2 linked regions of the Xenopus tropicalis genome follow. The protein of the gene in region 1 purifies or fractionates together with the protein of each later gene. This does not show direct contact. Links are inferred from orthologs where the notes say so. Each region holds a gene or a part of one and is shown on either strand. Other genes may lie near its edges.

Region 1 (4,368 bases):
GACAAGTAATTAGTTTGATCAGCTCCTCTAAAATTTTTTTTTTGAAGACCAGCAATTTCTAAAATTAAACTGGACTCATTCTTGTTTAGTACCAGAAATAAAAAAAAAACATAGATATTTCTTAATTAAACAATAGGCAAAAAGTATGTTCAAGCTCAAGTCATATTCATTCAGTTAATGTTAAAAAGGGGTGTATACTGACAAGTGGGGGGTGGGGCGCTTAGGTATAACCAGTGATTCTAGTCTGTAACCTGTTACCACGTTCCGGTGCTCATCTTTTTCAAAGGGGGTGCGCCTAACAACTTGGCCCCCAGTAATGTTACCATGACCTGATAGGCTAAGCATCTAAGTACAACAGAAGTGCACAAATCTTTACTGTGAATATTCAAAATGGCAAACTGGAACAGGCACAACAAACAGTTCACTTAAGTAATAAACAACGATTTTAAATATGTCAATGAGTTTCATACCTTAGTAAAATCCCACCGCGGCCTCTACCTCCAACTACATTAGGACCTGTGAGGGACAGTCGTCTTGCTTGTGCAGGCCTGAAACAAATTAGGAACACTGATTCAGTTTTCACAGAAAATGTATGCACCAATCAATAAAAGGATTATTACTATAAACGTAGAGTTGAAAGGTATACGATCAGCAGCCAAAGAAAGTGAAACTAACTTACCAGAGATAGTAAGAAAAAAGCAGGATGCTAAAAACATGTAAGTATACCCAGTGTATAATACACAATTAACATTTCTAAATTATTATTTGCATCACTAAGAGCTGAATATCAGCATTTGCATTGCAGAAAGATTTCCTTTCCCTTCCAGAGGTGGATCCACATTAACAAACTGGCACAAATAATATTTTATATTATTGCTGTCTACACATGCTTCTTCCAAAGTAGCTGATGTTCAGCAATTGTCAAAAAAAAAAAAAAAAGTGATTCTAGCAAAGTCTGACACTTGCTCTTAATGCTCAACAAAAACAACACACTGAAAATCTGTTTGAGACACAAATATAAAAGACCCAAGATCTGAGGTGCTAGAGAATGCAAGGTAACCACTATGAAGACCCATCATATTTGTGTCATATGTATAACAGAAACCTAGTTAGGATCCTACACAAAACAGCCAGTTCACATATGTGCTTTTGTTTAAAGGAACAGTAACACCAAAAAATGAAAGTGTATAAAAGTAACTAAAATATAATGTGCTGCTGCCCTGCACTGGTAAACATTGTGTGTTTACTTCAGAAAGTCTGCTATAGTTTATATAAATAAGCTGCTATGTAGCCATGGGGGCAGCCATTCAAAGGAGAAAAGGCACAGGCACATAGCAGATAACAGATAAAACACTATTGTATTCTACAGAACTTATCTGTTATCTGCTATGTAACCTGTGCCTTTTCTCCTTTTTTCCAGCTTGAATGGCTGCCCCCGTGGCTACACAGCAGCTTATTAAATAAATTATAGTAGTGTTACTGTAGCAAACACACCAGATTTACCAGTGCAGGGCAACAGTGCATTATATATTTATTACTTTAAAGCTCTTTTATTTTTTGGTGTTACTGTTCCTTTAAAGGGCCAGTAACATCAAAAAGTAAAAATATTTTTATACATTCAACGTTTGATCTGAAAACTATTACTTGGCAACAAATTACCCTATTGTATGTGAGAAGGGTTTTAAGCACTATCTTTACCCTAACTTTTAGTATGTTATAGAATGTCCTATTCTTAGCAACTTTTAAACAGATTTTAATTACTTGCCTTACTCTTCTGCTTATTTCCAGTGGGGGGGGGGGGGGGGTGTCCACTGGCCCCAGAAGTAGCCTGGTTGCTAAGGTAAATAAGACCCCAGTAACCACATATCTGAACAAAAAGCTCTAATTGAAAAGCCACAACAAATGAAAACCTATTGCAAATTGTCTCAGAATATAAATGCCTACTATACCAAATGTTAATTTAAATGTAAACTGCCCCTTTAATTCTATAGTATTGTTTAATGCCATGAAAGGCATTTGACCCCTTATTTTTCTACTTGTGTAAGAACTGCACTCATTGTACTCTACAAAGTTTATTGATCTGCTGTAGGAGCCCTTTTGCCTTGTTCAACTTGAGCGGCTGCCACCATGGCTCCACTGCAGTCTGCTTTACAAACACTACTACTGTATAAACAAACAGTTGGGAGGAAGTGCAGATGCCTGATAGGCTGGGCTGCAATTTAAATGTAGTACCACAAGTCCCATAGCTATATATAGACACATTTGCTTTTATATCTGTATAGGGAAGCCTGGTCTCGGCACAATCAATTTAGAAAGGGAAATAGGGATTGGAGCCCTTTGTTGTAATATGTGTAAAATACTGTAGTAAAATAAAATAGTTCCGCAACAAAAACATAGTTTCCCCGCGTCCGCAGATGATTGCCTCAGCGTTAAAGCCCATTCACTGCCTAATAAGCACTATGTAAGCCACACAGGGCTACACAGGCAGAACCATTCATTAAACACAATGCTGCAGCACGGCCTGCGAGTTTGCACAAATGATAAAGAAGCCCATCAGCCTTGCGTATTCTCACGAATTAGCTGCAGCCTAAGGCCGATATCGCCTGCACGCAGGCCCTTCTGGAAGTTTGTATGAGGGCAGTGGCCTGTATAATGCTTCATACACCATGCCTGCCATGCGGCGCAACCCAACCAGGAACCAGAGCGGAACCTTAATACCACAACACATGCATTAATCCTGGAACCCACCTAGTCTCATTCGGGTCCCGGCCAGTCAATTTCCGTATGTTTTCGTCGACATTTTTTAGGCTCTCTTTTGCTTTTTCCAACTGCTCTTGCAGAGTTCGCACAGCCACCGCCATTTTCTCCGCCCTAATCGCGCGTCTCAATCACTTCCGGGTCGTTGAACAAACTAATCAAGAGCCAGCAGCCAGCGCACTGAAAGTCCTAAAGCGGAAGTGGAACGTAACATTGCGGACCCGTGGGGGGAAGGGGGCGGGGCGATAATGTTAACTAATTACAGGGAAGAGTCGTGCAATGGGCTTTGCTGTCAGAGATTTGCCCTGGAACCAATAGTAATTTGCTGTTTTTTTTTCCACCCCGAATCTTCGCCCAATCAGAGATAGAGATTGCTGTAGGCATGAACAAGCAGGATATGGCTGATGAAGCCCTCTTTTTGCTTCTGCACAATGAGGTTATATCCTGTGTGTATAAAGCCGGCGGTGACCAGGGGGATGCGGTAAGTCAGTGTCGAATTAGAAAGGGGTATGTATGGGGAGTGGCTGCACAGGGGCTGACAGCATTCACCATAATTGCAACGTACAGCAAAGCAGAACATACGAGTAGGTGCCCCTTACTGGACTTCTAGCTGGTTTGGACCACAACTCCCTGTGATTCAGTATAGGCTTTGGTATTTGAAGTACACAGAGCCCTTATCAGCCTCCATAGACCCATTAAATAGTGACTGCTAATGGCATCTTAAAGTAGCAAAATCCACCAAATGCCAGTATGGCTGTGCCTCAGAGCTACTATAAATGGTGCCAGACAGCACAGAAATCACCTGAACTAACTTTCTGATAAGAAATTGTCAGCGTTTTGCTCTGCCTTTTGTCCATTAGAAAACATACAATTGTAAAAGTCTATAGGGGTATATTTATCATGCTGTGTAAAAAGTGGAGTAAAGCATTAAAAGTGATGTTGCTCATAGCAGCCAATCAGATGCTTTGCTTTGGTTTTCTAACTGTTGAAATCTAATTTCTGATTGCCCTGGGCATCATCACCGGTGATGTTTCACTCCATTTTTTACACAGCATGATAAATATACCCCTATGTGTTCCTGTGGTGGAACCTGTCAGCTGACTCATGTGCAAATGCAAGCTTCAATGTTAAAGAAGTTTTTTTTTATTGGAAACTTACTGTGTAATAGATTACTCTCAGGTAAAAAATGTGTGTTTGCTTCAGGAAATCTAGGGTGCTAACACACAGTCCCCCCTGGAAAAAAAAAAGCAGCACCTATATTTTCCTAGCGGCGATTTACACCCTTGCTGGTAGAAAAGCAAGGTAGAGGAGATTAGTTGCCACTGCTAGAGGAGGCTAATTGGGGGGCACTAATCTCCTTGTGTCATCTGCCCTACAGTTTATATAAGTAAGGGAGGTGGCAAACGGCACGATTAGTCGCCGCCATAAATCTTTACTGCCAGAGGTGACTTATCTCCCTGAAATGCCATTCTACTGACAGGAATGTAAATCACTGGTGGGATGGCATACGGTCACTTTGGTTTTATGAAGTCGGTGAAGTTCCTCACAAGAAAACTTTGGGCGAATTTCAGAAAACCTAAGCTATGTGTATGCCATTTCACCGGCGACTTA
Region 2 (4,601 bases), on another chromosome or scaffold:
TAAAAAAAGGGACTGGGTCAGGGTACTTGGTTGCAGGATTGCACACTGTGGGATTTTCAAACCTGTCTGGTGGTCACTGGGAATAATTCCAGCCTGATATTGGTCAGATAGGCAAGCAAGCAGGTTATTGAGCACCGATAAGCTGCTCAGTTGGCAGCTTTTATGTATGTATGTAAAACTTTATTTACAAAGCACTACATGAATACACAGCACCACACAATTTTACAGAGTAGAAAAATACACACAGGGAGGACAAGAATAATAAATAAGTATAAATATATAGAGATTAAGAGCCATGTGCTAAAAGACACAGTAGGAAGGAGATCCCTGTCGCATAGAGCATACAATCTAAGCCAGGGGAGTTAAACTCACATAAGGGGGCCGGAATATAAAACACAGGCTAAGTCACGGGCTGAATTTTTTATTAAAATACTTAGTACAGGTATGGGATCTGTTATCCGGAAACCCATTATCCAGAAAGTTCCAAATTAGGAAATGGCCTTCTCCAATAGACTCCATTATAAGCAAATAATTCTAATTTTTGAAAATGATTTCCTTTTTCTCTGTAATAATAAAACAGTACCTTGTACTTGATCCCAACTGAGATAGAATCGATCCTTATTGGAGGCAAAACAATCCTATTGGGTATATTCAATATTTAAATTATTTTTCAGCAGACTTAAGATATGGAGATCCAAATTACAGAAAGATCCCTTATTCAGAAACCCCCCAGGTCCTGAGCATTCTGGATAATAGGTCCCATACCTGTAGTAGAAGGATAAATCCTTCCTCACCTTGAAACACCATATTACACGCCACCCTCCTGCATTAATCAAGTTTTGAAAATAACTACAAGCACAAAGCAAACTGTAGGCAAAACAGTTAAATTACAAACTGTGGGAACCGTGGGACAAGACACATCCACCAGGTGCAAACTTGTGGCGCAGGGTCGCAGTGCTGTGGAAGCAGCTGCTTTTGCCTGTTTTGTGTGGCCCATGGTAATTATGCCTGACCTTACAGCACCAATCGCCTGACTGTGCAGCTCCAGTCCCAGTGGCGCTGTGACTGTGCCTGACCGCGCAATCGCCTGACTACGCTGCTCCAGTCCCAGTGGCGCTGTGACTGTGCCTGACCGCGCAATCGCCTGACTACGCTGCTCCAGTCCCAGTGGCGCTGTGACTGTGCCTGACCGCGCAATCACCTGACTATGCTGCTTCAGTCCCAGTGGTGCTATGATTGTGCCTGACCTCGCTGCTCCAGTCCCAGTGCCACTCCGAGCAGCTGCTTTCGTTCTGCCATGCAAGGTGGGTGGGGCGTATTACATCATTCCGTGATTGGTGCTGCACAGTCAGGCACATTCCCCACAGGCCATATAAAACAGCCAGCGGCTGCATTTGGCCCATGAGCCTTGTGTTTGACACAGGATCTAAGCCGTGGATAACATACAGACACAAATTGAGTAGAAACGTGTAAAGAGGTTTTGGCACTGGCCCTTAAATTCCAGGACTGTACCAGACAAGATATGTTCCAGTGCTCCAAAAAGGTAGGATCTAACTTTCTTTTTGAAACTATTTATGAAGTGTTCCATATATGGTCATGTTTACATCAACCTCTTTCACAAATGGCCGAACTGCCCCTACAGAAGGCTTTCTTGAGACAAACATTTTTTCTTACCTTTGAAGTGACATCAATCCCAGTAATAAAGGTCCCAGCCCTGTTCTCATAACGCCGATTACTGCCCTATTAAAACAAAAATGTATTTGAGAAAATGGACGAACCAAAGAGACGCAAAATATTTGGAAAGAAACTGTATATTATTAAACCATATCCAGTACATACACACACACACACACACATACATAAATACTAGTACTATATAGTACTATACACTAATAAATACTTATAAATACTTAGTACTTATTTTACACCTTAAGGTGAAGACACACTGAGCTACTTAGAAGCAGCTACTTGTCTTCACTACTAAACATCAGAAAATACCCTGCCATAGACAATACTGAGAATTGCCTCTGCTAAAACACACATAGAGACAATTATCAGTAAATGATCAGCATTGTCTATTTCTGTAGCTGTGACAAGTATCTGCTACTAGTTGCTCCATGTGTCATCACCCTTATTCTACACCTCTTGCTACAGTTTGTGGATGTCTCTATGGCTGTACCATTTTCCAGTGTGACCCTGATGTTGTCATTTTAAACGTGTATATTAGTGTAACGGTCTCACTGTACCACACAAATAACTATTTTCTATTCTGGGGGTAAAACACAGAGGGAATCAAGAAAAAGCAGAATATCACTCCATATTCACAGAATGCCTGAGGGGCCAGAACTCCACAGATGGGTATTATAGGACAGCCATGGCAGACCATTTTTGCCTTTATTGGTGCTTAACATTATAGCGCAAGGTCTATCTAGTGCCAGGGTAGACATCTACATTAAGTGCATTTTAGTCATGGCTACAATCTGCAATGGCTTTGATACCAGAATTAAGGGGAATGTCCGGGCTAAACAACGGGGGGAGCTCCCTCAGCTCCTGGGTAAACAGAAATCTGTTGGGGGAAACTCTGTAGGGGAGAAGTCATAATGTCCTGTCTGTACTGTTAGATTAGCCACTATGCTCCCATTTATTCTCATTCGGCTTGGAACTTTAGCAGCTGAACTGCATTTCCCACAATACAGAGCCAGTCAAGGCGAGCAACAGAATGAATGGCCGGCCTGTTGTATGTGATATGACTTGCTTCTACTGTGTGGCGACCTGACGCAGGTAATTATCAGTCGCCATACTAATCAGGCATTGATACCGTACATTTCTATTGGAGCCCTAAAAAGCAACTTACCGACACCACCTCACGGGGGGAAGCCCGGTCTGCTGCGGCCTCCACCTCACCTTCCTCCACTTCCATGGGTTCGGGCTCAGCGCCGCCGCCCGCCTTCACAGACACCCGAAGCCCTCGCACCGCCGCCATTTCACGCCGAATACAGCTCCGAACACAGCCGGTTGCCACAAACCCCGGCAATGATAGAGTACGAGTGTTAACAGGCTAGAAGGGATTCGGCACATGACCCGCAGGTGAAGGGGCGGCGGCCATGTTGGTTGTGGCCACAAGCCAAGACGCAAATGCGTGATGACATAACTTTACTATCACAGGCATGTTTTGGCGTGTGACCTTACAGAAGCGACAAGGGGGCGGGATAGTTTTACTGCTATGTTTCGTTTTATTAAAACATAAGGCGCTATGGCGTTCTGAAACAGGCTGAAGGATGCGGGTTTACACATAATACGCGAATTTTTATTTTCTTTGTATAAGATAACATATAGTAGTGGCTATTACACCCAAGAGTTAAAAATGTTACGCGTTCCCCTAAATGCAATTTGATGCAGAAAGTTCTATCCCCAACCTAATATTATCAATCACATCAAGAATTTCCTTTAACTGACGCACAGCCTGCTGGCAGGCATCCATACCCAATGCTGCAAGAGGGGCTGCATTGCTTGCCTTTCACAGTATATGGGTATTGATTGTGTTCATACGTGACTATGTCAATAATAATGCAAATTAACTTTATTATAAAAATAATTACATAATAATTACTCTAACCAAATAATATGATTACCTCAAATATAGAACCAGAAGTGTATAATGACTGTAGTGGGGGTAATACTGTTTTCATTCAAACCACACCCAAAAACCATTGCACAAGGATAGTTTATTTGGTGTAGAAACTACTCATCCCTAAAATGTTTAATATGCTAAAATCCAGAAGCCATCAAAATGAAGGCACAAACGGGGAATCTGCCCAGGGCCCACTGATTTGGGTAACCCACCGTACCACTATGTCTTTATGTTTTCCCTTGCTCCACCTTAGCCCTACCCCCATGCCACTGCTGCCTTCTTCTCCCTGCACCCCACATTTTCTGTTCTTCTTTGATCCCTGCTTTTCAGAACAAAACCTGAAGTTTGTGTGTTCCACAGTGAAACACATGAGCAACTTGGATTTTTTTCACAGGCGTCTAAACAGGCATCTAAAACTTAGACTGATTCGGCAGCATATCGGCCAGTGTAGGGGCAGCAACGACGGGCCTGCCTGACCAACATCTGACCTGAAATTGGCCAGATATCGATCGGGCAGGTTAAAAGATTTAGTTGGATTGGGGACCGCATCAGTGAGCCCATGCGGTCCCCGATCTGGCCCCAGGTGGCCCGTAGGTGGGGATATCGGGAGAAGATCCGCTCTCTCACCAAGCGAGCAAAACTTAAAGTGGCCACCTTAAGACAGGCAGAGATAGAGCACCAAGTAGAGAGATAGCGCAAGGAAAAGAAAACATTTACTATTGGTATTCTGCTTGTGCAAGTGTAGGTAATACATTCACTATATCTACCGATCTTACTGGCATGAGTGGAGGTATTGGAGTGCTCACTGGCAATCTTTCAGTGATCTTACAGGCTTGTCTCAGATTAATGGAGTGCTCACTGGCCATTTGTGCAAGTGATTATACTGGCACAGCGAGAGTTGGACTGGGTTACCCAGGGCCCACCGGATACCTGACTCAAGCGCCCAGCGCTGCTCCCCTGCTGCTTACTT

The links.
Region 2: the proteins of pnn (region 1) and ncbp3 purify together in Homo sapiens (co-immunoprecipitation; 3 studies listed by BioGRID and IntAct, counting the BioPlex papers as one, with this or other methods). This does not show direct contact. The link is inferred for Xenopus tropicalis from reciprocal best matches to the Homo sapiens genes PNN and NCBP3.

Annotation. Positions count from the first base shown.
Region 1 is NC_030684.2:104,735,200-104,739,567, forward strand, and holds the start of pnn (pinin), read right to left. Parts: upstream 2,944-4,368; 5' UTR 2,862-2,943; coding exon 2,749-2,861; intron 549-2,748; coding exon 471-548; intron 1-470. Other genes in the region: trappc6b (trafficking protein particle complex subunit 6B), read left to right, coding at 3,140-3,238. UniProt on the Homo sapiens protein: Transcriptional activator binding to the E-box 1 core sequence of the E-cadherin promoter gene; the core-binding sequence is 5'CAGGTG-3'. Capable of reversing CTBP1-mediated transcription repression.
Region 2 is NC_030678.2:48,484,117-48,488,717, reverse strand, and holds the start of ncbp3 (nuclear cap-binding protein subunit 3), read right to left. Parts: upstream 3,094-4,601; 5' UTR 2,984-3,093; coding exon 2,855-2,983; intron 1,741-2,854; coding exon 1,675-1,740; intron 1,544-1,674; coding exon of another isoform or gene 1,523-1,543; exon of another isoform or gene 1,415-1,522; intron 1-1,414. Other genes in the region: tapasin-related protein, read left to right, coding at 1,523-1,543. UniProt on the Homo sapiens protein: Associates with NCBP1/CBP80 to form an alternative cap-binding complex (CBC) which plays a key role in mRNA export. NCBP3 serves as adapter protein linking the capped RNAs (m7GpppG-capped RNA) to NCBP1/CBP80.